Notamacropus eugenii: one gene and its partner. The protein of the gene in region 2 purifies or fractionates together with the protein of the main gene of each other region. This does not show direct contact. Links are inferred from orthologs where the notes say so. Each region holds a gene or a part of one and is shown on either strand. Other genes may lie near its edges.

What was found.
Region 1: the proteins of USP33 (region 2) and ROBO1 purify together in Homo sapiens (affinity purification with western blotting; 5 studies listed by BioGRID and IntAct, with this or other methods). This does not show direct contact. The link is inferred for Notamacropus eugenii from reciprocal best matches to the Homo sapiens genes USP33 and ROBO1.

The regions. Positions count from the first base shown.
Region 1 is NC_092877.1:178,223,094-178,239,305, forward strand, and holds the start of ROBO1 (roundabout homolog 1), read right to left. Parts: upstream 8,442-16,212; 5' UTR 8,430-8,441; coding exon 8,156-8,429; intron 1-8,155. UniProt on the Homo sapiens protein: Receptor for SLIT1 and SLIT2 that mediates cellular responses to molecular guidance cues in cellular migration, including axonal navigation at the ventral midline of the neural tube and projection of axons to different regions during neuronal development.
Region 2 is NC_092873.1:538,962,711-538,978,554, reverse strand, and holds the start of USP33 (ubiquitin carboxyl-terminal hydrolase 33), read left to right. Parts: upstream 1-8,814; 5' UTR 8,815-9,053; intron 9,054-15,844. UniProt on the Homo sapiens protein: Deubiquitinating enzyme involved in various processes such as centrosome duplication, cellular migration and beta-2 adrenergic receptor/ADRB2 recycling.

The DNA of each region.
Region 1 (16,212 bases), on a different chromosome or scaffold from region 2:
AAAACAATCCTTATCAGCAAATGGGGGCTATGGCAATCAAACTGTTCATTTTTGCCAATGATTCCATTTTATTCTTCAACTACTTATAGAGCTTTTCAACTCTCAAAATGCTAAAACTGAGGAGCACAGTGAGAGCAACTGTTATTCCTGCTGTAAGTGGGCACTGGCACAGTGTCGTGGATTCAATTTCCCATATGTGGAAGAGGCTGAGGATTCTGCCTATTCTGATGTACAATAGAAGTCCCTTGGGGTGACTGGAACATGCTTCAATATTTGGTAGTTAGTTCTGGTCTGCTAACTAAGTGATGGACAGTAGGTTCTTTTGAATGGCTATAGTTGTAGAACTAGCATAGGGAGACATGCAAAAGGTCTTATTTGGCCTCTGCCTCCCTTTTGTTTTGACTTTCTTTGGTTGATGTCTTTCTGTTAAACAGCTTGTGGTGAGAGACTGTGTGGAAAGGGGAGAGGACTCTAACCCACTCCCTGTCTAATGCTGATTGGTGACCCTTTGAATGGGCCTTGGGCTTTTGCCTTGGTGTTTTGTTTGTTTTTGGTGAAGGAAATTGGAATCTACCTCTTGAATTTCAAAAGATCAAGAGAGAGTCATCTAGGAGTCTGGAAATCTGAGGTGTGAGAGTGAAGTCCATGCCGAATTTTGCAGCAGGTGGGAATGCCAAATTTGGATATGAACTTGGTGGGATCAATGCCAAATAGAAACCACTTTAAGTCAGGGCCCACTTTCCTCAGAGATAGATGTAGTGTCATGGAGAACACTGCCTTGAAATGTTGCGTAGAGGGAGAAATGTTTGCACTTTTCTGTTTTTCACTTATATCTTCCAAATAAATAACATTTTAAAAAGCTAATTGATGTTAAGTAGTTAAATGAGAATGAGATGCTTGTTAATGATCATTAACAAAATGGGGGCTTGAGCCTATGGTATTAACCAAAGACACCCTAGTCCTTGGGGGATATCCCATGATCCCAAAGAGGATATAATAATAAAAATAGCTAGCGTTTGTATAGCACTTTATAGCTTCCAAACACTTTATATGCTAACTTATTTGATGATCACAACAACTCTGTGAGACAGGTGCTTTTGTTGTCCTTATTTTACAGATGAGTTAACTAAGGACTAAAGATGTTAAGTGACTTGCCCAGGGTCACATAGCTAGCAAGTATCTGAGGCAAGAGTTGAACTCAAGTTTTCCTGACTCCAAGTGCTGCCTTCTATACACTGTGCCACGTAGCTGTGTGCAGTAGAAATGTAACAGCCTGACTCCGTGGCTGTAAGGCCCAGGGAATAACTTGCCATGTTGTCTTCAAACCAGGACTCTTGCTAGTCTTCTTGCACTTTACTACCCTTATACACTCCTGACCTAGTGGTGACTCCTCTGACGCAGCACTCCATTTCTGACTCCCTGCTTTTGTATTCATTGAAGTCCTTCATGCTTGCAGTGTTCTCCCTCCTCACCTCTGACTTAGCTTCTCTGGCTTCCTTTAAGATTCAGCACACATCCTCCTTCTGCAGGGCACTTTTCCTGATATTCTTCTTTTGTCCTAAGTTCTTTCTGTCTGAGACCCTCTTCCATTTGTACTGTACATATCTTATAGATATATAATTATTTACATGATGCATTACCTGTTAGAATGTGGACTTCTTGAGAGCAAGGACTGTGCTTTTGACTTTACTTTTATCCCCAGCACTTAGTGTAGTTTCTGACACAGAGTACATTCCTAATAAATGGTTATTGACTGACTGATAATAATCATCCCTACATCACTAAATTTTCCCAAGAGGGTAAGTGCACTTTTTGAGGGCCATTTAGATGGTCTCAAACAGTACCTAAATCCCTGTTATACATTTGGCTATTCCCACAATTGTCGTCTAATGCTTCCCTTTAAATTAAATGTTTAAGAAGAAAATGAGAGTACAGAGAAGTGGATTAAATTTATTTCTTTAATCTGCATTGATAATATTTTTGATTCATACTTAATCCATCAATTCAACTCTCAACTTGACTTAAGGACTTAATGTCTTTGTATGCCTGCTGCCAGCAAGCAGGAACTTAAGATGTAAAAAAAATCAATGTAGAAGTAGAAATGTTGTATCTAAAAGGAAACCTATGTATTACAAGTTGACCATCATAAGCCATTGTGCCTTGTTTATGCTAAATTGTAGCAATGTCTTGATTTGGTTTTAGCTGGACAGTGCTGTATCATTGCAAACTAGCTGAATATTGATAAGCAGGAGAGTGTCCAGAGGGAAGAGAACACTTTGGTCAAGGTCTTAAGTTCAAGCCATAAAAGAGTTGATTGAAGAGTAATCAGGTTTTGAACCTTGCAGGTCAACTGAGATGGAGGTATCCTTATGGGAGATACAAGGGACCTGCTTTGGCGAACATAAATCCTGTGTTCCCTTACCATATGGGTGGGAGTGGTATATTTCCATCAGCTGTATAGTGTCTTTAGTACAGTCTCAAACTCTCTCCACTGCTGCATTTAGAGGTTCAAGTCTGGTTCACCCACAGTATGGGTACTATATACTAAGGTGGGTGGGAGTGGGGGAAGGGTCATCTTTCAGCTCTCTGTTTAGGCTCTGTGGCCCCAATAATTAGTTTTGGGATTTTGGTTTACTTTGTTTGTCTTTTTCACTTCTGGGTGCAGGAGAAGAGTCTAGACCCCCTTAAGAATACTAGCGCACCCTGGAGGAGGAGTGAAATGTAACATACCTGACTTTTATGGAGTGGGGGCCAGGGAAGGGACTGTTACAGAGGGAAATGAGGATATTTAGCACAAGAAGGGGAAGCTTAAGGTGGATATTCTACCTTCAAGTATTTAGTGGCCTACTGTGTGGAGGAGAGAAGAGATTTTTCCATTTTGACTCAGAGGACAGAACCAGGAACGATGCATGGAAGTTGCAAAGAGGCCAATTTAGATTTCATGTGAGGAAAAGCTTTCTAACAATTAGAGCTAAGAGTGGAAGGAGCCACTTGGAGTAGGGATTGGTACTCTCACTGTCAGTCTTCTGAGCCTGGACAAGCACATGCCAGGTATGTTACAGTGCGGAAGCCTTTTTCATACGGATTTGACTATATGTCTACAGAGGATGCTTTTAACTCTCGATTTCTCTTACTCATTGAATCATTGGAGAGCCTGTATACTAATGAGGATATCCCCCAGAAAACTACATTGTGAGGAATGTTAATTTAGTCATTTAAAAATAAAGCAAGTGAAGTTGATTTTTCCTTTGGTATACCTCTTTTGCCAAGTGGCTTAAATGTATTAGTTTAATGTAGCTTCTTATTTGGTATTCTATAGCCTTTTGAGAGATATTATTAATAATCATAAGAGCAAAGAAATGCATTGACTAAAATCTTCTTGTAAAGATAAGCATAAAGTATGTTATTTTCTATATATAGGCCTTGATTTTTTAAAACATGCTCCTTTTCCATTTTTATGAAAGATAAATCAGTCTGAGCTCAATTTGCTTTTACTTTCAGAAGAGAAAATTCAAATTCTTTAAAGTAAATAATTTTCATTATTTTATAGCTATAAAATCATAGGTACAATAGTCAAGTATCACTCCTATTAATCATAAGCAAGACGTCTTGATATTTCAATAGCTCAATATCATCCTGAGTCTTCTTGTTTACTCAGGTAAATTTAGTGTTTTCTTTTCTATGGATTATCCAAATGGGCTAATTTATTTTTCCCCCTTGGGTACTTTCTAGGACTTTCTGCTATACATAAATTACATTTCTCTAAGTTTTAGCAGCAGCAGGATGAATAGAAATTTTAATCCAACCTAAAATGTTTAGTTAGTATGAAACATGTAAGGAGTACAATCTATCTCCCTAAAACAAATGCCTACCGTACCAACAGGCATATTGTCTTATGCAGGGGTGACAGGGGTTCAGGGTGGGGAAGGAGAGAGAACTCAACAGTAATAGACAACTATAATGCTTCATTCTGAGATTTCTAGACATCCTGTAGGCTGATGATTTTGAGGCTCTATGTATATGTCTCCACTGTGGTAGTGTGATATCAGGACTCTCTCTTTCTTTCTTTAGTATTTTCTTCCTTACTATGGCAATATCAGCTTGAATTCAATACTCTTAAGAAAAGCTTTGAAGGTCGTCTGTAAAGAAAATATAGCTATGTTACTGACATTTAAACATCTCACTATTTAAATTCACACCTTTCACCTCTCTCATAGTTGTATGAGTTGTAACTATGTGGTAAATATGTATGCTTAGTAGCAATCTATAAACAATGTGCTATTAAAAAAAAGACTTCTTAAAATATCTCCATTGATTAGCAGTTATTATGGGTGTTTTGGAACATGATCTTGATCCTATAAAATAACATTTTAAAAAGTTATCTGTTTTTGCACCTGAAGCTGTATTCTGTGAACCATCAGCTAGGAAATATATTACTTGTTTTTAGATAACTTTCAAATACACTTCAGCAACATCGTGCCATCATCTTAGCAATGTCTGCCATCACTGACTACTCAGTGATACTGCAACACTTTAATGCCATTCAGCTTTGAGAGAGTCATACTTGTAGGTGGTGGGAGGATGATGGCTATGTGTGTATGTGGGGAAGGAAATCAATCTTTTTTTTTTTTTTTTTTTTTTATTAATTTTTTTATTTTTTTTAATGTTTAACAATCACTGCCATACAATTGCGATTTTATCCCTCCCCACCCACCCCCCACTACCTCCCTCCCTCCCCACGACTGCATACAATTCTGTATAGATTCTGCATATACTTTCCTATTGAGTATATTTTCACTATCGTCATGCTATGTAGTCAGACTAAGATAAATGAAAGAATCCGTATAACAAATCAGAACATGATACACAAACAGATACACATACACAAACATGATCTGCTACATTATGTGAGTGACTTCCATATTTCTCTCTCTGAGTGTGGAAGGCTTTTTGCCTTGAGGTTCACCATTGGGATTTTTTTTTTTTTTTCAGAAGTTCTTGTGTTATTACAAAAATCTAAGTCTACCAGAAAAAACTCTCACACACTGTGGTTGTTGCTGTGCATAAAGTTCTCCTGGTTCTGCTCCTTTCACTCAGCATCAGGTCATATAAGTCCTTAAAGGAAATCAATCTTTACTTCCTATTCTAAATCACCAAAAATTACCCTTCTGGTCCCTCTACCTTGCACTTCACCTAAATATAGGCACGATGTAAACACTGATGAAATTTCTATAAATATTACTACAAAATTATGATCAAAAGCAATGAAGAATTCAATTTATAAGTTGACATGTGTTGATTAAGGCATATTAATACCTTAATGTAAAGAATCAAGACATTTATATGTAATTATGAAGTCATGTGCTTATTATGAATTTTATCTGAATGGATAAATTTGATAGTCATGGTTATATGTAGCTTGGTGACCATAGCATGTGTTGTAGTGAAAAACATATGTGAAAAAGACAAACTTTTAGTGATGAGGCTAAAAGGAAAATTGGTCAGAATGAATACAGAATTTGGCAAACTGTGGAAATTATTCTTTTGGGGATTGTTAGGTTTTCATTGATTGGGATGATGTTTGTCTTAGCTTGTAAAAATACCTCCGGGAGGCTTTTATTTTTGCCTTTGGACTCTGTGAACCATTATGGTGGACTTTGGGGGAGAAGGACAGTGAGAAAGGCCTCAGAAGTCAGATTTATGAAAGGAAGAATGTTTACAAAAAAGAAGGTAAAATATGGAAGTTCCACAAGCTTATTTTAGAAATACAGGAGCATAAGCAGAATTTCTATGTTTTTAAAAATTAGTTTTCATGAGCCATTGTCATTATGGCTAACTAATATCAGAGATCTAACAACTGTTTGTGTATTTGCTGGTTCATTACAAACTTTAAATTTAAACACTGAGATATGTTGCTTCTATATACATGGTGACTTGCTAAAAACATTCTTATTTTAAAAAATTAACAATGCACCAACCATATATACTGTTAATTATCCCCAACTCTTGTCCATGAGCCATTATACAGTCTGTACTACACAGAGAGTGCCAACTCAATCATTTGTGAGTATAGTTAAAAGAGTTCTCCCAGGAAAGAAAATTTATAGAAAGTCAGAACTACTTGTACAAAACGCTATCATCTCATAGTCTATTCTGTATCTTTTGTTGCAACTTTTATCACATGTAAGGGATAGTGCCACTCCTCTACCCTCTAAAAAGAAAGAAAGCAGCTTAAGTTTAACCTCTATTTCATTTCACTTTCTATTCTTTTGGAGGTTGTAATGAGAAAGGAGAAAAAGGAAAGGAAGAGAAGGAGAAAGATAGGGTATAGCCAGCTTACTCTGGAACAATCAGTCCCTGAATAATTGAAAATTGACTGTGGTAGTATAAATTCAATAAACATTTTTTTACTATTGGCCTATCATAAGTAATTACTGGCCTCAGATACAGGGTAATTTATAACTTTATTTTATAATCACATTGCATTAAATTGGCCTTGTTTTAAATAAGTCACTTGACAGAATATTGAGTAAATAGTTCCATAAGTTCATCACCTATAAGGAATAAATCTATTCTTTGTATTAAGATTATAAATATTGATAACTGATTGATTCCATTTCAGTGAACTAAATGGAATGACAAGAAAGAATAAATGATTAATAGCAATAAAGAAAAGGTTACTTTTAGGTTTTAATACAATTTTAAGTTGTCTTAATTCAGTTTTACCTTGCCCACATGCAAGTTGTGGACATCCCATAACAGCGAAAGAAGAAATATTTTGAATGTGACTAGATAATACAGTTTTTCTGAATAGAAGAACACAAATTAGTTACGCTAATATATAGGAAATTCAAAATATGTGTAAGGAATAATAGTTTTTGATCTGTACTTCTATCAATATGAACCTATCTTATAATAATAACATTAAGAAGTAGAATTTAGAACTTCTGAAGATTCTAGTTGAAGACCTGCAGAATGTACTCCCCAAATGAAGATTCAGTTTATGTTTTGGGAGAAAAACTAAAAAAGGATGAGAAATGGTGATTTCTGTGAGAAGGAAAAAAGTATACACAAAGAAATATGTGAAGTATTTTATCATGACATCAAGTGACTCAAACCTCAACTTTCGAGGGATACTGAAATAATGTTTCCATGAAGGGAATGAAGATGTTTGTAAAATAATACTGTTATTTTGTTCTCAAGTAAAATTCAACTATTGTATTTCTCTCTTTACCTCATATGGTTACCAGAATAATAGTAGTAATATTAATAATGGCCATTTATCTCTCTCATTGCTATCCAATCTATGGAGAACCCTTCCAAGAAGTACTTCTGCAAAGTACAACAAGGTAATTTTGGATTAAATACAGTTTGTTACTAACAATAGGACTGTGATAGTATTATTTCTGAATTATGCACTTAGTTACAAGTTACATTTTGTGGCTTGTCCATATCTAAATTAACAAGGAAGGTTGTCTTATTTCCCATTCACTTTTAGCACTGTACTGAAAAATACTTCACAGAAAAGTAAACATATCACTTTCATACATGTTCATTTTAAAGACATTTAGTTCTTTTTTCAATGAACTTAGTGAGTTAATTGGTTATGTACGTGTGTACATATGTGTATGTCTGTGTACATATATATTTAAGAAGTGGTTCATGGATATGGTATCACTTAGAGGATATATTAGTCATGCAAAGAACAATATTAAGATGTTAGTAAGCAGTGCAATAAATAAGAAATGTATAGATGACTTTGATTGGAAAGCAAATGATTCTTAATATAAACTTTTCTTTTTTCTTATTTGCTCCAGTTTATTCAAAGGTTTGCATGATGTTGCAAATTGCTATTCTCCCAAACATATTTGCAGTAAAAAACCTTCGCCCTGATCATCATTTGTTTTTCAAGTAACCAAAACAAATGCTAAGTAAGAATAAACATAGTCTTCATTTGTAGTTTTTCTAAATAGTTTCCTTCAGCATCATTATTTCCAGGTTACTGGATGAATTTTAAAGCATGAGTACCACAGCACAATTTCTTGCTGGAGCTATTAATAGTAGGGATGTTTAAATAATTTTATACAGGTGGTTGATGACTGATGAAGTTTGAAGAGAGATGGGACTATTAATATTTTGGAAAGATACACTCTACCTGTGTAGCCCAGCGAATTGTCATCATTATCAGAGGTGGGGAGTGGTGTCCCGTTGTCCGTCCCCCTCTCTAGGTCTTCAGAGTCTGTCGGAAACAACACCAGAGCTGCTGATGGGGTCACAGTAGTAACAGTAGTTGCCATTTCCATCACAATATGTCCAGACACAAGTAAATCCACATAGACCAGAAAGACACACAGGGATAACATACAGCATACTTCATCCTCACATCTTCTGTGGCATATCAAACTCTGGAAAAATTTCACTGCCATCATTTATAATTTCTATAGCCTTTTCCAGTTCACTCTTGGATTCCCCTAATAGTCTTTTGCTGCACCATTGCTGTAACTCAAAGCTTGTGCAGGGCTCCGACTACCTCCTGTGCAGCAGTCAGCACAGGCTGTGGGGAGCATATGGGGAAGAGAAGGCAGTCTAGCTGAATGCTAGCATTGCTAATTTTCTACCTTATTGTTAATCAAAGCTATTGACTGTGATCACTCCCTATCATCGCTTCATCTCCTGGCAATTACAGACTCAGGGGACTACCTCTTTTAGGGAGGGGATAGTGGTCTAAAAGTGTGAGTGAAACAGTGTCTTGTCAAATGAGAGGAAGGGCTGATAAAAGTGACATACCTTCTTCAGAAGGCACAGAGAAAAAGGGCAAGATCACATCTTTGAGAAGGCAAGAGTTTAATATTTTAAGGGACCTCCATATATTTACTGAGCTTAATGCATGGATGTTAATTTTCATTTAATTTGAGTAAGAAGTTTTCAATTAATTTGGGTAAGTAAAATCAAAACACAGCGCTCAAAGTTTGTACAAGATAATAATTTCTTTTCTCTTTCTTGCTTGTTCTTGTATGTTTGGAGTGCTTTTCCTTAATAGTCTTAAACTGGCAAACTCATTTTTTGTTTCTTAAAATTTCAGAGGAGAAATAACTAATCAAATATCCAGAGTAAAGAAAGTACATATGCTCAAAACTTACCAAAATTTTATTTATTCAGTGCCCAATTATTAGCCACAATGTATCTACTATTCCAGATAAATACAATTAATATAGATAGGTGCATTATTGATATGAGGTTTTAGATCTGATAAAAAAAGCACACATCTTACTAAAAAGAGAACTACATAGTAAATAATTGATCATTAAGGATGAAGAACTCCTTGCAATCCTTACACAATATCTAACAAGGATTTCTAAGCACTGGAGGAGGAAGCACAGCTGTTCACTGTGGAAGAAATGATTCTTTTCAATAAGGCAGGATGTAAAACTAGTTAATGCCTCTCTAAAAGCATTAAGCAAGAAATTCATTTTAGGTCCAAAGATTAAATACCTAATGCCATTCCATTTTTAAATGGTCCCTATAAGTGTTGGCTTACCCCCTGAACCACTTAAAGAGTCTCATCATGTATTCAGAAGAAAATGAAACATGCTATGTACCAAATCCACTTTCTATACTCTAGCTGGTCAATATCTCTATCTCTAGCCCATGCCATGTAATTTACTTGATGTAAGTAATGCTAACAATAATAAAGAAATTTACATCTGTGTTTAGGACAGACACCGAGAAAAATATGTTTATAAGTCCATTCATTTTTTTAATCTCAATAATGGTGAACATTATGGATGTCATTAAAAAAAACTACCCAAAGTCAGTGCAGAGACTTGTCTGCCCCTTCAGATTAGTAACTTATTTGTATGCATGTGCTGATTGGGCCTGAGTTTTAAATCACATCAGTAAAGCAGAGTGAGTTTTTTTTCTTTTGCATGTACTTAGGGATCTCACTGGCATAGTTATGCCACAAATAAGTATTCTTGGTGGGCAGACTATCCAAATAGAAGAATTTGGTTTAAAAAGACAAATGGCAGGTGTTCATTTAAATGTGGCTTTTAAAGGAGCAAACACTACTTACTCAGGAATTCAGATGTTTAAAAGTTAATATATGGCATTCTTTTTTTCACAGTGATTAGTCATTTTTGTAATTGAAAATAAACCATATAAGGAAAAGCAACTTTCAGACCATTCTGGGACAGTTTCCTATATGTGCATTTATAAACTTCAAATTATCTAAATATAAATATAGTAAATTTAATAGAAACTAAATAAGTTTATAGAATTTTAAAATATAATCAGATACAAACATTTTTCCTATCTTGTTTCATTATATTTACTGCCAAGCTATTGTACCCAGCCAAAGATAAAGTGGTTGTAACAATAGTGGAGGAGGTAGGTTACAGCTAAATTAATTAAGATATGAATTCAACTTGTGTAGACCCACTAAAAACTGGATTTTTCTCCTACAGTCCTTCATTTGACCCTAGTTATTTAGAAGTTTACTCCATGATCATAGTCTGGAAAAGGGAACAGAAAAAAGAGAAATGGTAATCAATGAGTATTTATAAAATTATTTTTATATGTCTAGAATTGTCTTTTAGCCATTAGTCACGCTATACTTCATAAAGACTGCTATAGTCTAGTGGGAAGAATATTGAATTTGTAATCAGAAATCCTAGCTTTGAAATCAACTAGGTCAATTATTAACAGCCATTTTGGGGCAAGTCATTTAATCTCTTTTTGTTCCTCACTTTCTTAATCTGTAAAATGAGTACAATATATGTACTACCCATCAGAGCTGTTTTTAGAACTAAATGCAATAATGCACATGAAGCATTGGCAAGATGTAAGGTGGTATACATATGGCAATGATGGTGATGATCATGTTGTCATCCTTTTCATCTATTTCCATGGGATTCAGAAAGAAACAGTATTGTTGCTTTGCTATTATTCCTTTGTATTCAGTGTTCAACAAGCTTAAACACAAGTATTTAAGATAAATTCTTCTTTCCTAGAAGTATATAAAAGCATTGTGGCATTTATAATTTTTGTTTATTGATGAAACTGAAGGCACTTTCTTTTCCCAATTTTCTAGTCTCTTTCAGTTCTTTCAACTATTGACTGCCAAACAAATTAAATTAAATTAAAATTTGACTCATTGCATTTAGATTATAAGTGAACTCTAACGGTTTACTTTAATTTCAGTTACAGAAAATGCTGATAATGCTTGTCAGCATTAGATTATAGATAGACAACCTTAACGAGTCAAAGAATTATTCAATGTGCAATTCTCTATAACGTGTATAGTCTTGATGTGTCCAGATTTTAGAAATGAATCTTAACCAGCCTGAATAGACAAGTAAAATTTGGCAGGAAAATGCCTTGGGTCATTCTTAGCCAAGAGAATCTCGTGAATTAATAACTTTTACTATGTCCCACGTAAAGTAACTTTTACCTCTGGGTTAGACTTTGGAACTAATATAATGAAAAGTAATGAAAAGAGAATTTTTCAGATACTATCATTTACAACAAAATAATTTGTAATAAAATACCCCAGGTTCAGTTGAGCAGTAGGTCAAAGCACATCCCTGATAATCATACTACCTCAGGATCACTCGATACAGCATAGAAGAGTATATATAGAAATGTTTACATGTACCGTGCCAGATATGGAGCAAGATTGCCCTTGGAAAAGAGAAATGCTATCAGAGATGAAAATGAAGGTAGACATAGGGAGTGATATAAAAAGGATGTGAGAGGAAGAGAAAGAAATCAGAAGGAGCACTGGCAAATGACAAGAAAGCAAAAAGCTCTTTTCAATGCAAAGAGCAAATGACTTCTTTTGTGTAGCATGAGGTGAAGTATTCAGGAGGAAGAGAGAGAGGAGGAAAAAGGGACACAAAGAGAGAGAGAGAGGAGGAGGAGGAGGAGGAGGAGGAGGAGGAGGAGGAGGAGAGAGAGAGAGAGAGAGAGAGAGAGAGAGAGAGAGAGAGAGAGAGAGAGAGAGAGAGAGAGAGAGTTTCTGTTTCTGTGTAGGTCTGGAAAGAATGTTTGGAGCAGTCACAATAATAACTGAGATTCAGAATTGGTAAAGGAAGTGTCAAAGCTTTGCTTTGTTGCAATGAGATCCCAGGGGGAGTTTAAATAGCATATATTAACAATGGGCTCAATCAGTATGGTTTATGACTTCAGCAAGCACCTTCATTAATAACCTTTTGAACAGGAAAAAAAAGCAAATGATAGGAATAATCTAGTGTTGGATTTGGAAAAGTGTCAGCAGCGATAGACAGTGGAATAAAAGATTCAAGAGTGGAAGTAGGTTTGGACTTCCCAGTTTATTTTTTTAATAGGTCAAGATTTGTAAGAGAAGGGAATATCATCACAGTAAGGATATCTATGAAAAGTATTGAGCAAGAGAAGGTTTAGCAGTCATGGAGTGGATGATGAATATGTTTAGAAAAAGTAAAATGGAAATGGAATCATAAAAGATTGTGACTAGAAAATTGAATTATGGAGTTCTTGGACATGGAAGTGGAGCACATGGGTGATGGTAAGATTGTATGATCATCTGTGCATGTAGCTAAAAGGATTAGGTCATAGGAGTTAGTTGAGTTTGTCTAAGGAACTGGGAAATAAAGTATTTGAGAGATCATCAACGTGTATGTTGAAATGTTCTAGTGTGAAAGCAAGTCTTAGGGACAGAGGAAGTTTGAACCAGACTTTAAATGCCTTGCATTCTGAATAGGGGTAGGGCAAGGAGATTTTTCTTCAACAATAGTGTATTAAATATCACTGAGATTAGGAGAATTAGAGGGAATATGAGGGCCATTGAGAAATGGGTCCAGGTAAAGTATCAATTTATGTAAATAGGTCTGCTGCTGTAGGCAGGTGATTAGAAACTTCAGGATCCTCCCTTTCCCAGGCCTTCTAGAACTCAACATAATCTTCATTTGCCTCAGTTGTCTAGATAGTAGCAAGTTGGTATTGTTGTTTTCTGAAGGTTATCTGCAAAGGAATTTTCATAGCAGGTTAGAGCATGAGGTGATGTGTTGGAAATGTTTGAGAGCCTGGCTAGGTGACTATCTGCTCATGTCCTAAAATCTAAAGGAATCTCATAAAACTCAAACTTATTAGCATAAGACCTGAAACAGTATAATTATTTTCTCTGTGTTCTCTACAGTCTGAATTCTATATAGTCTCTCTATCATATTTAGGATAATAAGCATTCAAACTGTATTGCAGGGAGGACAATTCTGATGGGTTGGTCACATTATTTGAATGCCAAATGTACACTTGCCTAAAAGACTATTTTATGAAGGTGCTCACATGGTGGTCAGAAGAAGCATTACAAGGTCATTCTCAAGATCTCTCTTGAGAACATTGGAATTGATTGCATGGCATAAGAGACACTGTCAAAGGACAGCTCAGCATGGCTTTGATGCTGGCATCAAAGAAAGGTCTGTGCTCCATGAGCAAAGCAGAATTTCAGTAGCTCAAAAGAAAAGTGAGATACACAAATTTAGAGTCATTTCCACTCCAGATGTTCATATGGCATATTTGTGCCTGACCTGTGGTAGAGCATTCCAAGCTTGCATTGGTATGATCAGTCATAGGTGGACGCACTGTCATTTGACTGTAATATAGTGATGTCACTTTGGTCCTCTTCAAGAACAAAGGACAATACTATTTAGGATAATATGAGATTTTGTGACTTTATTACATTTATGAAGATGTATTTCCTGAAGCTTCCTATAGCATGTTAAAAATAAACTGGACTGTTTCTTCCAATCACTGATCCTAATTAGCTGTTTGGTCAACTCTATGGTGAACAATTAGCTATTCCTTTTAAATATATAATAAAGTTACCATGTAACTTTCATTCTTCCCCTTTTTTCTTACCTCTCTCCTTCCCGCCCTAGAGATAGATATATTTAGATACACACACACACACACACACACACACACACACACACAAAATCATTCTATTCATACTTCTATTTATCATTTCTTTTTCTGGATTCAGATAGTCTTGCTTTGTATGTCTTTGGTAGTTAATTTGGGTATTTATAATAGACAAAATGACTTAGTCACTCAAAATTTTTTTTTGTTACAAGGTTTTTATTTTTGTTTTTTTCTTTTGTTTTTTCATTTTTAAATTTTAACTAATTTATTTATTTTTAGTTTTCCACATTCACTTCCATAAGCTTCAAATTTTCTCTCTTTCCCCAAGATAGCCTGCAACCTGATATAGGTTCTACCTATACATTTCTATCAAACATATTTTCACATTACTCATGTTATGTAGAACATGAATGGGAGAGACCAAGACAAATTCAAAAAAACAAAACAAACAAACAAAAATAACCTGCTTCTCTCTACATTCAGACTCCCTAATTCTTTCTCTGGATGTGGATGGCATTTTCTATCATGAGCCCTACCCAGCTGTTCTTGAAACAATATCATTGTTACTGTATATTGTGTTCTCATGGTTCTGCTCATTTCACCATTATTTTATATGTCTATCTGTGGTTTTCTAAGATCATCCAGCTCATGATTTGTACAGTGTGATAGTATTCCATTATAACCACATACCATCTTTTTATGATCTTTAAGATACTTTGCACCTCTAAAATACTGTAGTTCTATGAGGTCCATAAATAAACTTTCCTCTTGTGACAATTTTCTAGACTCAAAACAAACAGCCTTCCTCCCTCAAAAAAATCCCCTGACCTACTTTAAGGAATGCATGCAGCAACATCTGCAGTGAGGTCCCCATTAGTCTGATGAATGAATCTGATGAAGTGGTCATATTATTTGAATCTTTGCTTCATATTTCTATTGGGTTGGAATTAATGACCATATTTTATATATAATTATAGCTTTGGATAGTGTGAATCTGAATTATGGGAACAGTAGAATTCACTATCCTCACTAATTGAGACCTGTCTTTATTATTTTTAAAAAAATAATGACAGTTGAGATGACCTTTTTATTGTAATTTTCATCTTTCATCTATATTTTTGTTTTACACAGTTTTATAAATACATACATGTGCACACAGATACATTACATATACACACATTATAGATACATTATATCTATATTCACATTTGTACACATCTTTTTTTTCTTTTATTTTGGTTGCAGAATATTCTGCATCTAATCTATTTCTTTGATAGATTAATATTATTAATGTGGCAGAGGGGAAAGACAACTAGATTTGAATACAGAGGACCTGGGTTCTATTTCCAACTCTACTTCTGTCTCTGTGTTTTTGGACAAGTCCCCTTCTTAGGCCTCAGTTTTCTCAATTATAAAATGAGAAATTGAACCAGTGTATCTTTAAGCTCCCTCTGAAATCTAAACTTTTGATCCAATGATCCTTTTATATCTCAGACTGCAATGCTTTTGAGCAACAGAGGGAATGACATTTCCAGGACGACCATTAATAAAAGATTAGGGCAAAGCAAATGAATATAAACCACTATCAATATGAGAATTGTGTTCTACAAATTGGATCAATTCACATTGATTCTGTTCTACTAATCAAGAGGAATGCAGAGAATGGCCAATTCTAAATGGAGTCCTGAGCATATTTAATTAGAAACCTAGGTGAAGAATTGCAAAATGAAGTCTAAAAACATTAAACTTGTGTCACAAATCTGAAAAAAAATCAAATTAAGGTAAAGCTAAAACTTCAGCTTTAATTCAATGAGCTTAAAATGTTTGTGAGGTACATGTTACCTTGTTCATTCTCCTGAACTGGGAGGAACAAAGAGGGAAAATAAGTTGAATCTAAGGAATAGGAAAAGGGATTGGACCTGTGATTTCACTGGTGTAGGGAACTCTGGGGCAAATAAAGTCCCTCATGTCAATTTAGATTGACAATCTAAGTAGGGACAAAAAATGAAAACATTTAGTGTGTGTGTGTATATGCATGCATGAGCGCATGTGTTTGTACACACATGTGCATTTGTGTAGGTTTTAAAGAGTGCTTACTCCTGTAAAGGTCTATGTAAAAAAATCGATGACACATGGCAATGCCATTTGAGATAGGAAAGTGATGTTTTTGGTAGATATCTAGAATAAGAACCTTTTAAAATTGTGTTGTCAATCAGTACCAGGCTACCATGGAGTAAATATAACATCATATCTCAAAGACATTAAATATTGTGTGATAAAAATGCTGAAGAAAACTATTTTCATCACTATCTTAAG
Region 2 (15,844 bases):
TTTTCATAGCAAATTGAATGTGCATGTTATTCCCTCCTTAAGCCAAATGTGATGAGAGTAAGGTTCACTTTTTCTCTCTCACCTCCACCTTCTTCCCCCACTGAAAAAGCTTTTTCTTGCCTCCTTTTTGAGAGATAATTTGCCCCATTCCCTTTCTCTATTTCTCCTCCCAATATATTCTTCTCTCACCCCTTAATTTTATTTTTTTTTAGGTATCATCCCTTCCTATTCAACTTACCCTGTGCCCTCTATGTGTATATAATCCCTCCAACTACCCAGATACTGAGAAAAGTCTCAAGAGTTACAAATATTATCTTTTCATGTAGAAATGTAAACAGTTCAACTTTAGTAAGTCCCTTATGATTTTTCTTTACTGTTTACCTTTTCATGCTTCTCTAGATTCTTGTGGTTGAAAGTCAAATTTTTTATTTAGCTCTGGTCTTTTCATCAAAAATGCTTGAAAGTTCTCTATTTCATTGAATGACCATTTTTTCCCCCTGAAGTATTATACTCAGTTTTGGTGGGCAGGTGATTCTTGGTTTTAATCCTAGCTCCTTTGACCTCTGGAATATCATATTCCAAGACCTTCGATCCCTTAATGTAGAAGCTGCTAGATCTTGTGTTATCCTGATTGTATTTTCCCAGTACTTGAATTGTTTCTTTCTGGCTGCTTGCAATATTTTCTCCCTGACCTAGAAACTCTAGAATTTGGCCACAATATTCCTAGGAGTTTTCCTTTTGGGATCTCTTTCAGGAGGCAATTGATAGATTCTTTCAATATTTATTTTAACTTCTGGTTCTAGAATATCAGGGCAGTTTTCCTTGATAGTGTCTTGAAAGATGATGTCTAGGCTCTTTTTTTGATCACAGCTTTCAAGTAGTCCCATAATTTTAAAATTGCCTTTCCTGGATCTATTTTCCAGGTCACTTGTTTTTCCAGTGAGATATTTCACATTGTGTAGGTCAGAGACCACTGACTCAAATAAAAATCAGAGACTTCTCAAGGTAGAACCAAAGCAGCAAGATTTTATTATGATCTCACGAGAAAGGGCATCTACTCTCTGATAAGTAATCCGGAGAGTGAGGCAATTACAGAAGGCAAAAATAGAGATTATATAGCTCTAATGCAGATCCTACCCCCCCTTCTGGGCTTTTACTCCCATTGGCTGGGAGGCAGGCTCACAATCTAAACTTGACAGTCTACTCTATGAATAGGGGACAAGGAAGTTGTGGAATAACCAGTAGCCATTATGTTGATGTGAACATTGATGTGGCATCCCAAGGGAGGTGTTTAAGTTTCATATTCCTAAAAGTCACATGATTTCTAGGAAACCCAAATTTAGATGTAACCATCTACTAAAAGCCTTTTGTTAAGCACTGAGAAGTCTTCACTAACTTCATTCCATTCAACATTGTCTGCTATTTTTTCATTCCTTTGTCTTTGTTTTCTAATTTCTTGATTTTTCATAAGGTCTTTAGCTTCCATCTGCTCTATTTTAATCTTTAAGAAATTATTTTCTTCAGTGAGCTTTTGGACCTCCTTTTACATCTGGCCAATTCTGCTTTTAAGGGCATTCTTCTTTTCATTGGCTTTTTGGATCTATTTTGTCATTTGGGTTAGTCTATTTTTTAATGTGTTATTTTCTTCAGCATTTTTTTGCGTCCCATTTAGCAAGCAATTGACTCATTTTTCATGATTTTCTTGCATCACTCTCATTTCTCTTCCCAATTTTTGCTCTACTTCTGTTACTTGATTTTCAAAATCCTTTTTGAGCTCTTCCATGGCCTGAGAACAATTCATATTTTTCTTGGAGATTTTGGATGGAGGAGCTTTGACTTTGTTGTCTTTTGTTTGCATGTTTTGGTCTTCCTTGTCACCAAAGTGAGATTCCATAGTCTGATTCTTTTTCCTGTTTTTGCTCATTTCCCCAGGCATTTACTTGACTTTTGAGCTCTTTGTCAATATAGATCTCTGTTTCCAGGGGAGGTTGGGAGTGTACTGTCAGCTGCTTGATTCCCCCACAATTTGTGGGCCTAGAGTTCTAGAAACAATCGCTGCTGCTGCCCCTGCTGCTGCTGCAGCTGCCACAGGTTCCTCTGGCCCCTCCCCACTCTGCTACCCTGGGTCTGGGACCAGAGCACTCCACTCTCCCACTCTGAGTCCAACAGGCTTTTCCCAGTGACCTTCCAATTTGTCCTCAGTGTTTTGGGGTTGTGAAGTCTGGAAACCACCACAGATGCGAGATTCAGTCCCCCTGACACTTACTCAGGTCCCATCTCTGGGACCAAAATTGTACCCATTTTACATTTGAGAAAATTGAAGCAGACAGAGGTGAAGTGACTTACCATGGTCTGAGGCTGGATTTGAACTTGGGGCTTCTTGACTCCCTATTCCCAGTACTCTATTACATGATATACAGTTTAGTCTAAGTTCACTGTTTAGAGTTATGCACCTCTTTTGGCCTGACAGAAAATGTTTCCTATATACAGCATATTATGGGGTTATGATTTTGAACCCACCCTCCAACTGTAGCACCAATGCCATATTCATAGCACCTACAGCAGTCACGAATATCCTGGCACACTTCTGAATTGTGAAATACAACAGACTCTCCACAGGAAAGACAGAACCAAAACATTAACTCAGACAACGGAAAGCCAAGTCCATCATAGTAACAAAATCTGTACACAAGAACAAAGCAGAGAACAAGACCATCCCCAAGCCTTCTCCTGCTAGGCATCCCACAAACCAGCTTCCTTACACAAATCACAAACAAGCTCTTTCACTCACACTAGCTAGCTGGCTGCTTGCTTGCATCCTTCCTGGCTCTAACTGCTCTCTGACCAACTTCTCCTCAGCTCTACTCTAGCTCCTCCTGTTCCTCCCTTCCTGCTGCACCCTTTCAGCCAACTCCTCCCTCCACAGACTCAAGTCACTTCCATGTGATCCGAGCAGGTCACATAGGCTTATTAATGAATGGAAAAGATCTTCCCAATTAAATTACCATTATACCAACCCATTTTATATTTATGGAGTAACACTGTCCCACTTACATTTAATATTTAAATGGTTGGATGGGACTTCGACCAGACCTGGCATTTCATCTATAGAGTGAAACTCCCTCTGCCAATATATATGAATGTACATTTGCAACCATTCTGCAAGTCATACCCTTGGAAAGTTTTCTAAGGGTGATTCTCTAATTCAGTGACTCACTCAGGGTCACAAAGACAGTGAGCATCAGAGGTAGCACTTGAACCCAGGTCTTCCTGATTCATAAGCCACCTTCCTATCCACTATATCAAGCTGCTTCTCTTTGTCATCATTCACTTTGTTGGAAGGAAAGCTAAAATTTTTACATTATAAAATATGTAAATAACTTGATCTCTACCCAGTTTTCCATTAATACCACCACTCTCCAGGCTCTTTCTGGTTCATGCAAAAGCTTACTGAAATTCTTCAGGTTATATGGCAAGAGGAGGTTATCCCCCACGATTTCAAGGATGCTTCCATTGTCCATCTCTACAAATGTAAAGGAAATAGGTTGTCCCGTTCCAATCACAGAGGGAGTCTTTCTTAGTCATTGCTCGCAAGATTCTTCCCAGAGTCCTCCTATTTGATTATCTACCTGAAAGCCAGTGTGGCTTCAGAAAGAGCCAAGAACAGTTGATATGGTGTTTGCTGCCCAACAACTACAGGAGAAATGCCAGGAGCAGAACAGAGGTCTGTACACAACGTTTGTAGATATGACCAAGGCCTTTGACACTGTCAGTTGTGAAGGCTTGTGGAAGCTCATGGTAAAATTAGGTTGTCTGGAGGTGTTCATCAGTACTGTATGTCAGTTCCATGACAGTGTGCTTGCTTGGGTTCTAGATAATGGATGATGTTCTTGTGCTTTCCAGTCACCCATGGAGTGAAGCAGGGCTGTGTGCTTGCTTCCACACTTTTTAGCGTGATGTTTGCTGCTGTGTTGTCAGATGCTTTCAGTGAGGACAAAAATGGCATTAGGTCAGCTACCAACTGACTGTAAATTATCTAATTTGAGAAGGCTACAAGTCAAGACTAAAGTGGAAGAAGAGTTGGTGTTTGACTTTTTGTTTGCAGATGATTGTGCACTCAATGCAGCCTTTGAAGCTGAGATGCAACAAAGTATGGATCAATTCTCTGCTTCCTGTGCTCATTTTGGCCCAACAATTAACACCAAGAAAACATTTCCACTAGCCAGTACCACATCATCCATACATGGAACCATTGGTTACAACAAATGGACAAATATTGAATTCTGTAGATAAGTTCACTTACTTTGGTAGTGTACTTTCCAGGGATGTACATATTGACAATGAGGTTGATGCACGCATTGCCAGAGCTAGCTCAGTGTTTGGGGGGCTCCAAAGGACAGTATGGGAGAGAAAACGTTTTAGTCTGCCTACTAAACTGAAGGTCTACAGAGCCACTGTGCTGACCTCATTGTTGTTGGCCTGAGAAATCTGGGCAGTCTACCAGCACCATGCCAGGAAACTGAATCACTTCCATTTGAATTGTCTTAGGAAGATTCTGAGGATCACCTGGCAGGATAAGGTACCAGACATTAAGGTCCTTACCCAAACTGAACTGCCAAGCATTCAAACTCTACTACAGAGAGTACAGTTCCAAAGGGCTGGCCACGTGTTTGAATGCCAAAAGTTGTTCAAATGCCAAATTTATATTTGCTAAAAGACTTTTATGAAGAACTCTCACAGGGCAGATGTTCATTCTTGGTCAGAGGAAGTGATACAAGGACACTCTCAAGGTCTCTTTTAGGAACTTTGGAGTTGATTATGTGACATGGGAGACACTAGTATAGGATCACAGGACTGCCCAGCACAGTGTGCCCACATCAGAAAGGGTGTTGTGCTCTATGAGCAAAGCAGAATTGCAGTAGCTTAAAAAAACCCACCAGATATGCAGATTTAGAGACATCACCACTCTGAATGTTCACATGGACAATTTGTGTCTGACCTGTGGTAGAGCATTCCAAGCTCCTATTGGTCTGATCAGCTACAGTTGGAGTGGACACATTGTAACTTGACCCCAACATAGTGATGTCATTTGCGTTCTCTGTGAGAAGAAAGGACAACAACCTACCAGCCAACCAACTCTTCTCCCTGCCCCTCCACCCCGCCCCCTCAGGGAATTGGGGTTAAGTGACTTGCCTAGGGTCACACAGTTATTAAGTACCAAGTGTCAGAGGCAGGATTGGAACTCAGGTCTTCCTGACTCCGGGACCAGTGCTCTCTCCACTGTGCCACCAGCTGCCTCTTGCTCCCTACCTTTTAACAATATTAAGAAAACACTTTAAAATGATCCTGCCTGAAACCTTGGGAATAATCTGAAAGAGAACCCTCCTCTATCTCTCTCAACCATCAATTCCAGGACCAGAGAAGAGCCAGGACCCTCTGACTGATTTATCTAAGAACAGCTCGCTTTTCCCCCATGCCCTGAAGGTGTTAGGATAAGGGTCAACCCTAAGATGCTGCTTTGATGACTTCAGTTAATAGATTACTTGAGTTACTTCAGTTCATTTCACCTTTGGCCAGCTGGCAAGGAGAAACCTTGGAGGGAGTGGTCAAAGAGGAGATGAGTGGTTTAAAGAAATGATTCTCCAACGGTGAACTATTGTCCCATTTAATGAAGCACCCTGTTAACTGACCTGTTACCCAATCTTTGGAGCCTTGCTCAGTTTTAACTGTAGAATATTCCTCTGTTAAAAATCTCTGCCATTGGGACTTCAAAATAGAAGAGAGATGTGTGCTTGAGGTCCTAACGACTTGGGCAGAGTGGATATTTCATTCTCAAAGCAGATCAGTGCTTGCAGTTGAATAATTGGAAAGCATCATTGCCAATTTTTTTGATTAACTCATCAGATTAGATAGATCTGCATTGTTTTTTACTGTTGTGCAGCTGATAAAGAGCTCTTAGCAGACATAGGAGAAATGTCAGCTCTTCCATTGTCTTTCTGTAAAGGAACTGGCCTCTCTGGCCTGAGCCAGTTGGAAGCCAGGAAGGCGTGGCTGGCCAAGGATCCCAGTCCTCACAAGTGCAAGTGGAGTGCCCAACTCATGCTGTTCCCACAAGGAATGTGCACCGCACCTAGTAGGTGAACTAGAGCCCCTCAGGCTGGCTTTGGCTGCATCAGACTCCAAAGGCACCAGGTGGATTTCATGTTCGTCTGATCTAGGGGACAGACAAGGGCCAAGGTTGAGTCCTGCACCCTCCCCAACCATGTGGTCCCTGAAGGCAGATGTAGGCTTTTGCTCATTCCTTCTAGGTGACCTGAGCCAGTGAAGGTCCAGAAGCAGAGTCTATGCAGCTTTGAGGCACTGACCAGGGAGCTGAGGCCAGGGAGGTGAGCACTGGGGACCCATGCACTGCAGCAACCCCACTGTGGATGAGCGCGGTCCTTGGGATGGGGGAGAGTGAACCCCTGAGGTACAGGGGAAACCTGCCATTTCCCTTCTTGCTGTATCTTCAAAGCAAATATCCCTTCGTCAAAGCTAATTGAAGTTAATCGGTTCAATAGACTCAAGGAGAGCCTCTCTTGAATGCAACCCCAGTGAATGGAAGCTCTGGGCTACAGATTTAGAAAAACAAAAACACCTCAAGGCTTGGGGTGCCCCAGGACCCTGAGGGGGAGTGTCACCATCCTAGCCCAGGCCTGATTGGCCTCCCTGAATCAGACCTCCCCCGAAAAAGTCCCTTCTGAGCTCTGAGGTTTGCTGCCTGGAGGACTGAGGAGAGAACTTCAGGACACAGCTTAGTATCAGATTTTTTCTTTTTTCTTTCTTTTTAATAATACTTTGTTTTTCCCCAATTAAACATAAAGACAAGTTTTAATATTCATTTTAAAAAGTTTGGGGTTCCAAATTTCCTTCTTGTTTTCTTCTTCCCCTCATCTGAGCAGGTGAGCAGTTTGGTAGAGGTTATACACGTGCACTCATGCAAAACATATTTCCATATTAGTTGTTAGAAAACAGACCAAAAAAAAAAAAAACAACTCCCCGAAAAAATTAAGTGAAAAAGAGTTTGCTTCGGTCTGCATTCAGACTCCATCAGTTCTTTCTCTGGAAAGAGGTGGACAGCATTTTTCTTCATGAATCCTTTGGAATTGTTTTGGATCATTGTATTCCTGAGCTAAGTCCATCCTAGTGGATCTTCCAACAGTGTTGCTGTTAATGTGTACGATGTGGTCTTGGTTCTGCCCGCTTCACTTTGCATCAATTCATGTTAGTCTTTCCAGGTTTTTCTGAAATTATCCCAGCAGTATTTTTTTAAAAAAATAAGTTTCTATGGCTATTTTCTCTTTCTTGCCTCACCATAGTATCTCACGTGTCTCTCCCTCTCCCCCTTTCAGAGAGCTATTCCATATGACAAATAGTATTTTAGGGGAAAGGAGAGCTCCAGCCATGTGTGAGACCAGGGGACCTCCACCAAGAGGCAGTCTTCTGGTCACCGTTCATTTTGGATTTTTTGGGAGGGGTCATTCTTTGCGCTCACCTTGATGGAGTCGCCCAGTGCCTGGGTGGCAGGGCTCTGATGACCGCTAGTCATCTTCTCCGCTCCTCCTCTGCCTTCCCGCCCTGGAGTGGCACTCGCTGCAGCATCCTCTGGGACCACAATGGGTGGGCCTGAGGCTAGGCCCTTCCCAACAGATGGGCCTTGACTTTGGTCCCAAAGTTCCACAGCACATTCTCCCCTGGGAAGAGGATCGATGGGGGGGAGCGGTAAATGCCCGTTTGCACAGGCTTTGTCCTTGCTGTGGGCTCCCAGGAAACGCTCCTAGGGAAAAGCTGGCAGATTCACCTCCCCAAATTCACCCCCAAACCAAGAACTCACCCCAAAGGGTTGCATAAATGCTGCGCTACTATCTGTTGGGGAGACCACGGCAGGGATGGGACAAAGGGGTCCATCTCCTGGCGTGAAGGACTCTGAGCTGTCCAGTCTCCCCCCTTCCCCGTCCCCAGGACCCAAGGGGGCACAATCAGGCCAGGACGTCGGACTGAGGGCGCTGTACACAGCAGGCACCTAATAAATGCCCACGGACTCACGGGAGGCCAGGAGGTGTCAGGAGCTCCAGGAAGAGTCGGGACCAAAGCAAAGGGGGGGGTCTCCCTAACTGTCCGCCGCCTCGGGGTGGCTGGTGGGCAATCATGAAGACCCAAAGAAAGGACCAGACAGACCCTACCCTCAAGAAGCTCCCAGTGTACCCCAAGATATCCGGAGAACCAACCGAAGGAGGCGGTACCAGACGGAGGGGGCGGGACTCTATGCCTCGCCCCTCCCGAGCCCTGCCCCCTAAAACCCCGCCCTGTTTCGCGGGGGGCGGGGCTCGTTCTCCTCTTCTGAACCCTCCTCCTTCCCTCGAGCCGTGTGCACCCGCCTACCAGTCGGGGGCGGGGCTCACTTCCCTTTCCCCTCCCTCCCCTCCCCTCGGGGCGTGTGCGCCCGCCCTCCAGCCCAGGGGCGGGCTTCTTTCCTCTCTCCCCTCCCTCCTCCCCCTCCGCCCCTCGGGGCGAGTGCGCCTGCCCACCAGCCCGGGGGCGGGGCTCATTCCCTTCTCCCCTCCCCCTCCGCCCCTCGGGGCGAGTGCGCCTGCCCACCAGCCCGGGGGCGGGGCTCATTCCCTTCTCCCCTCCCCCTCCGCCCCTCGGGGCGAGTGCGCCTGCCCACCAGCCCGGGGGCGGGGCTCGCTCCCCTTCTCCTCCCTTCACCATCCGTCCCTCCTTTCTCCTCCCTCCTCCCTCCGCCCCCTCCCCCTTCTCCCCCGCCTCTCCCCTCCCCGCCCCGCCCTTCCCGGCTGGGCCCGCGGCCCCGGAAGGAGGCAGGCGCGGCGGCAGCGGCGGCGGCGGCCGAGGCGGGAGGTTACGCACCGAGGCAAGACGTGGGCCCCGCCGCGGGCCGTGGGCCGTGGGCCGTGGCCGGCGCTGGAGGCGGGGCCGCGGCGGCGGGTGGGACGAGCCCTCGCTGCCGCGGCGCTGATCCCGAGCGACCGTGACCGAGACCGTGACCGTGAACGGTGAGCGGGGCCTGGGGGGCGGGAGAGGCACCCGCTCGGAGGAGGGAGATGACAGCCGCCGCCTGGCCCGCAGCCCGGCCTCCCCTGGCCCCCGCTCTGCGCGAGCGCTTATTAAGTGCCTGCTGTATGCGAGGACCGGGCGGCGTCCGCCGGGGCCCTAACGGAGCCCTGGCTGCGCTATGGATGGGGGCGTGCCCCGAGGGGCCGCCGGGCGTGTGGCCCCTAGGGCGGAGGGCTGAGGTCCCCGGTGAGACACTCCGCCCCCCAGCGGCGGGGCCTTGAATGCCGGCTTCAGTGGGACCCGGGCAGGAGGGCCCGGCGCTCCCCCGAGGTGGGGGGCCCCGGGCAGCTTGTCCCCCCACCGGTCACCTCAAACAGAATACGGGACCGAGCTGGACCTTGGGCAGGGCCCCGGGGTCAGTGACCAGGGTGCGAGCCAGGGCACCGATGGCAGGTGGAAGGTGTGAGACTGTAGACAGTCGGTGCTTAATGCTTGGGCTCCTGTGGTCAGTCCCATGTCTGTGGAGGCGCTCCGGGACCATAGCCGAGCCAGGGTCAGTCTGACCGGAGCCATGGCTCAGGCCGGGTCAGTCTGCTGTGGCCGGGGTGGCCCGTCCGGGGTGGTTCAGCCTGGCTGGCCCGTCTTGGGTGGCCCGTCCGGGGTGGCCTATCCTGGGTGGCCAGGCCTGGGCCCAGCGCCTGGGGCTGGGCCCCTTCCTGGACAGTTCTGGCTCTCTTAGCTTACAGAAGCAGCACCTGTTGCTCACACTTTCAAAGGCTTGGAGGTTTGGCCTTAATCAGAACGGAGGGTCCTCAGGAGAAGCAGCCCCAGAGAAAGGCCTGGTGGCTGGCTGAGGCCTGTCCTCTCAGAAGGAGCCCACGGTCATTGATGTCAGGTCCATCTCAGATAGAGAGATGCCGAGCAGATGAAAGGGGTGGACTGGGAAAGAAGGGGAGTCTGGGGGAGAAGGGCAACATGCAGGGGAAAGAGGGAATTCCAGGTGAGTCCTGCACCAGCCACCTTCGCTGAGTCAGGCGGGATTTGAATGCAGGTCTCTCTCCAGCAGGCCAGGAGGAGGGATGGGAGAATTGAGACCTCTCCTCTGGTGTCCTCTGCTCTGCAGGCCAAGTTTGGGGTGCGTTGTTTGAGGAGGAGGTTGGGGTAGTCTCCAAAGGAATGACAGAAGTGGATCCGTTTGTTTCAGGACAATTGCCTGAATATCTTAGGAGTGAAGATTGAATCTAGGGACTGTGGGTGATGAAGATCCACTCAGTGGACTTCTATTGAAAAAGCGTTAAGCATCCCCCCTGTCAGGCCTCGCCCTAAGCACTGGGGATAAAGACAAAGACAAAAAACAACCATCCTTCCCTACAGGGAACTTATACTCTAGTTGGGAGAAAAAGCCTTGATATAGAAAATCAAACATAAACCATGTAAAGAAGAATTAAAAAAAAAACCAACACAACAATTTCCAGGGAGGAGAGCACAGGTCTAATATGAAGGACAATTCTGTGTTTTTTTTAAAAATTACTTTTATTTTTTTCATCAACTATTCCCCAATTACATGTAAAAAATTTTTAACAATCATTTTTTAAAATTTTGAGTCTCAAATTCTTTCCCTCTCTCTCCCACCCCTTCTTCCTCCTTGAGAAGCAAGCAATTTTATTTTGATTATACGCTGAGCTCATGCAAAGCGTATTTCTATGTTAGCCATGGTGTGAAAGAAAACACATGCACACACACACACAGAATAAGAAATCAGGTTAAAAAAACAAGTCTGCTTTGATCTGCACTCAGAGTCCATCCGTCTGTGGAGGAGGAGAGCCTTTTTGGGATTGTCTTGGTCCAGTAACAGAGTCTTTCACAGTCGCTAACTTGCAGTGCTGCTATTTCTATGCAGTGTCCTGGTTCTGTTCGATTTGCATATGTTCATATAAGTCTTCCCAGGTTTTTCTGAAGCCATGAAGGACAATTTTGTTAATAAGAATAGGTTTTCTTTTTAAAAAAATACTTTCAAGTTTAGCTTCAATAAGAGATCATTTTCATGTACAAAGGCTAGAAAAGGGGGGAGTGCAGAGGAATGTGAAAAGTAAAACAGAGAGTGGGAGGGAGACCTCTGTCCCGGTAGCCTTGAACATGGGGTCTTTACTGTAGCCATGGTCAGATTCTCCAAGAAAGTCAGGAAGTGGAGGAGCTGAAAAGACAGATGACTGAGGAGGATCCTGGGGCCTGGCTGGGAAGTCACAGGCTCTCATTCTCCGGTCCCTTCAGCTCACACTAGTTGTGGAAAAGCAGTTCAGAGAAACGTTTCTATGAACTTGAATTTTCCTTGTATTATTAGCTGCATTGTTTTGGATTCTGGAAGAGCTGGGGCCAAACCTCCTGTCTGCTGTGTGCTTCCAGAGTGCCTCTGGGCAGTTCTCTCTTAATTAAATCACAGGTCTGGGGCACAGTTCTCCCCCTAAGAAACAACTCAGACTCTTTAGAAGATTTTTTAAATGAGTGTATGGCAGCGTCTTTACGACCGATGGAATTACAGCCCTCTATGGAGGAGTTGGGTCAGCGAAAGCATGAACAAAGTATGCAAGGCTTGGGGCATCTAGGGGGCGCCATGGTGCTTAGAGTCGGGGAGACTCCTCTTGGGGAGATCAACTCTGACCCCAGACACTTGCTAGCTGTGTGAGCCTGAGCCAAGTCATTTCACCCAATTTGCCTCCGTTTCCTCACCTGTAAGGTGGGGACAGTAATGGCACCTATCTTCCAGGGTGGTGAAGATCAAATCTTTGCAAATAACGTGTTACACAAGTGCTATTGTCGTTGTTATCCTGATTTCCAGAGCAGTGGTCTGGACAGGTCTGCTTTTGTATCTGCACAACTAAAATACCACAGAAATCAGCTTTGGTTTCGTCCCTTCCCACCATATGGAATCCTGGAATTGGAAGACAAAGCCCCTGAGGAGCTGAATTTTCTGGACAACAAGGTTGGTTATCCAGCCTCTCCTTCGATATCATTTTACTACCCTTATTGGAGTGAAAACAACAAGAAAAAATGCACAGACAGGTGGAAAGTCTCCAGAAGACACCTGACATTTGGCAGAGTACAATTCTTTTCCTTTGTGACCAAATGGAAGACGTCTTGGCTGTTGGAAGGCTGCTAGTGAGCCCTCCATGACTGTCCCCCCCAGCTCTGCCCCGGCTCCTCTTCTACGATGGGGATTCCAGCTAGCTGCTTCCCAAACTGCCCTGTTCCATACCATAAGAAGACATGCCCAGTCTGTGACTTTCAGAAGAGCCAGCTCTTGTGGCTAGATGTGCCCCATTCGGGCTTTTCTCCATCGTCTTCTCTCCATGGCCTCTTAGGACTGATGGGGCCCACTGATTTCTCCTAGCCTCGGCCGCCAATTTCTGTCTTTGCCCGCATTGCCTTTGATCATTGTAAATTGCCGGTAACCTCATTTTAATGTGCTTTTCTCTAGGCAGTGGAGAATTGGAACAGCTCCTTGGTGGGATCACTGGGAATCTCATGAACCAGTCTGCATTCTCTTCAAGAGAAGACAGGCATCAGTTAATTTTTATTTAATTCTTCTCCCATGATTTAAGGGTGTGTTCCCTGTGAGCTCACAGAAGTAGCACTTTGGGGACATATGCCTGTGTCACCTGTAACCTGTCAGGACAGACTGAACCAAAGTCCAGGGGACCATTTCATATTGGGAAGTTTAAACAATGATTCTTTGGTAAAGTTGACTTCTTCTCTCATTGTGTGTGCACAGAGCCAAGCACAGAGTGGATGCCTTCTTGTCAAGCACTTGCTGGTAGGTTGGTGGCTGTGTGGGCCTGTGACTGGGAGCCCCTCTTGCTGTGATCGGGCAGATGGCCTTTTTTGGTGACTGGTGACGTTTAGGATCAGTCCAGTACTGCGTTTTCTTCATTACGCTGAAAATCAGAGAGTTTTCCTTCCTTCTTCCTCCTGGGGTTCTGTACTTTGTGCTGCTGTCTGCCTGGGGAGATCACACACAAGAGTTTCACGGTTTGTTTTGCTCTAGTTTTTGATGCTTCTGCCCCGATGAGAAGCAGCAGAGGCAGAAAAGGGGCAGCTCAGATCAGTGGGGCTGACCTAAACCCCAACCCCATTGCAATGAGACTCCGCTTTCATGTCTGTGATCTGCTAATGGGGTCACCACTCAGTGGCAATGCCCATAACTTCTGTGCTTTGTTTACTCCAGTTCTTGCCCAAGGACCTTTTCATGTGCTCCGGATCCAAGATTGCCTAGTTTGGGGTGGCCCAGGTTTGGGAGATAGGGCTGACCCTGTTAGAACCAAGGGTGGGGAAAACCAGCTGACAATCAGAACCTTCCACTTTTCAGAAGGCTCAGTGGTTCCCTTTCATCATTAGGGGCAAGTACCCACATCTCTGCTTGGCATTGTTTGACTGTGTCCCCTTTTCCAGGGTACTTTCACATGTATTTAAGATTCCAGCCAAAGTTCGACCTGCAGAGTTCACTGTTCCACAGCGCATACTAATAAGGGCTACCAGTGCCTTGACCCCAAAGCACATTACACAGTGCTTTAAGGATAGCAAAGCACTTTACATCTTCCTTTTCTCATTTCATCCTTACCACACCATGCTAAAGTGAGGGCTTTATTATCTCCATTTTATTGATGGGAAAACTGAGGCAGACCTGGCCAGGAGACTGGATTTGAACTCAGCTCTTCCCAACTCCAGGCCCAGCAGTAGCCTCCTTCAGCTCATTCCATTTTACAGGCTGCCCTCCATGCCTGGCATGCTCTTCTCTTCCCCTCTACCCTGGAGATCCTCAGGCCTTCGCCTCAGTGACCCCTCTTAGGGAGGCCTTCCCCATGCTCTGCGTTCTCTCTGCCCACTCTGGGCCCTGGCACTTAGGTATTGGTGAGCATTTCATTGTCTCTGGCCCCAGGGTTGACGACTGTCAATGCTTCCTGAAGGCTGTGTGTACGTCTCGTACGGAGGCCCCAATAGAAGGGCATCTTCTTGGGGGAGGTAGAGCCCGCTCTGGTGACAGATTGTTGGAGTGTATTTGTCCCTGCCTCTCCTCGGCTCTCAATCCATACTGGACACCCCATGGCCTTCCTGCAGGATGTAGCCTGAGCTATAATTCCTCGCTTCTCTTCTTTTAGGTCAACTTTAGGGACTACAAGCTTTGTGTGGGTCACTTAAGGTGACACTGGTGGGGCACCTCCACCGTCCCCAGTCAGCATGTATTTATTAAACCCTTCCTCAGTGCCCAGGACCCTGCCAGGCCTCAGAGATACAGAGATGGAAGAGAAATGGCTTCTGCCCTCAGGACAGTACCAGGGGCAGAGTAGAGGTCCTGTGATTTCCTGGATGCCAGGACCTCCCATGGTAGGGCCTGAAATCTTTCCTAAACACATGCCATCTACTTTTCGCCCCATTGCTCTGGCCAGGATCCAGGACACCCTCTGTCCTCTTTGTAAGATGCTGCCAAGACGGCCCCTCTTCACCCTGCCCTTCTGTCCTAACTGGGAGAGGGGGCTCAATTCATACATCTCCTCATCTCTCCCAGCCCCTCCTGAGCCCTCTTAGGCCCCCCTCAGCCTGCCTTTCTACTCCCTTTTGTGTGTTGTCTTCCCCCCATCTGATTGTAAGCTCCTTGAGGGCAGGGACTGGCTCTTCCTTTACATTGTTCCCTCAGCTCTTAGCAGGTGCCTAATTCATGCAGGCTGACTCAGGTCAGACCTGTGCTGGGCTCCTTCATTTGGGACTGGGACCATCCCCAGCTACAGGAGGGGAGCCATGAATCTTCAGCCTTTGCTCTAACTCTTTATAACAAACATCAGAGACCTCGTCATTGTGGGCTCTGAGATGCCCAGAATCCTCTTGAGCTCTGCTGGACAAGGGCAGGTTTGAAGCAGGGTGAGCCTCCCTAAAGGCAAGCCTGAATGTGAAAAAGACCGAGTTAGAAGCCCACTGTTTGTTTTCCTGAGGCACACAGTTGGCGCCACTCCGGGATTCGGTTGTTGAGATGTGCAGAGAGGCACCCGAAGAAGGGAGGCCTGCCTTGTCTTGGAGGAACTGTGCAGGAGTTTTGCCAGCCTGACTCACGCTGGCCATTGGATCATTCCAAGCTTTGTGCTTGAAGTCCAACATGTTGGGCCAAAACTAATTGTCCTTTCAAAGTTAGGCTTCTGTTTTCGAGCCCAGGTTTTCTAAACAACTGTTTAGAACCTAATGTCCCTGTAATATTCCTGCCTCCTCATTGTCCCAGCAACCAAGAATAGGATTTCTTTGCATTCACCTGGGCTTCCAGAAAGGAGAAAAATTTCAAAGATCCTACACTAGGTCCCAAGATTAACTTCACAAGTACAGGAATGGCAGGGGGTCAGGTGAGCAGCTGCTATCACTGCTTGCTGGGAGTCAGTTGGGTGAGAAGGCAGCCTTCTAGACTCAAGGACATGGTGATAGGCTAGCTGCTTGTCCTCTGCTCTGGTAGGCCACATGCAATCAGTTCTGGGTCCCTCACCCTGAGGTCTTAGAAACCTCAGTGACTCTCAGAGCCCAGCCTGAGCGTGCTCTTCCACCCTTGAAATGACCTTTTACATATTTTGTATGAAAATGGCTGATGGACCTGTTTCTCCCCCCACCCCACAGGCAACTATTGGAAGCCAGAGACCACTTGGTTTTGTTTTTTTGTACCCTCAGTGCCTGGTGGCATGTAGTAGATGCTATATAAATGCTTACTGAGCTCAGAAGAGGGCAGCACCTGGCATGTGCAGGAGCCTTGAGTGCCAGGCTC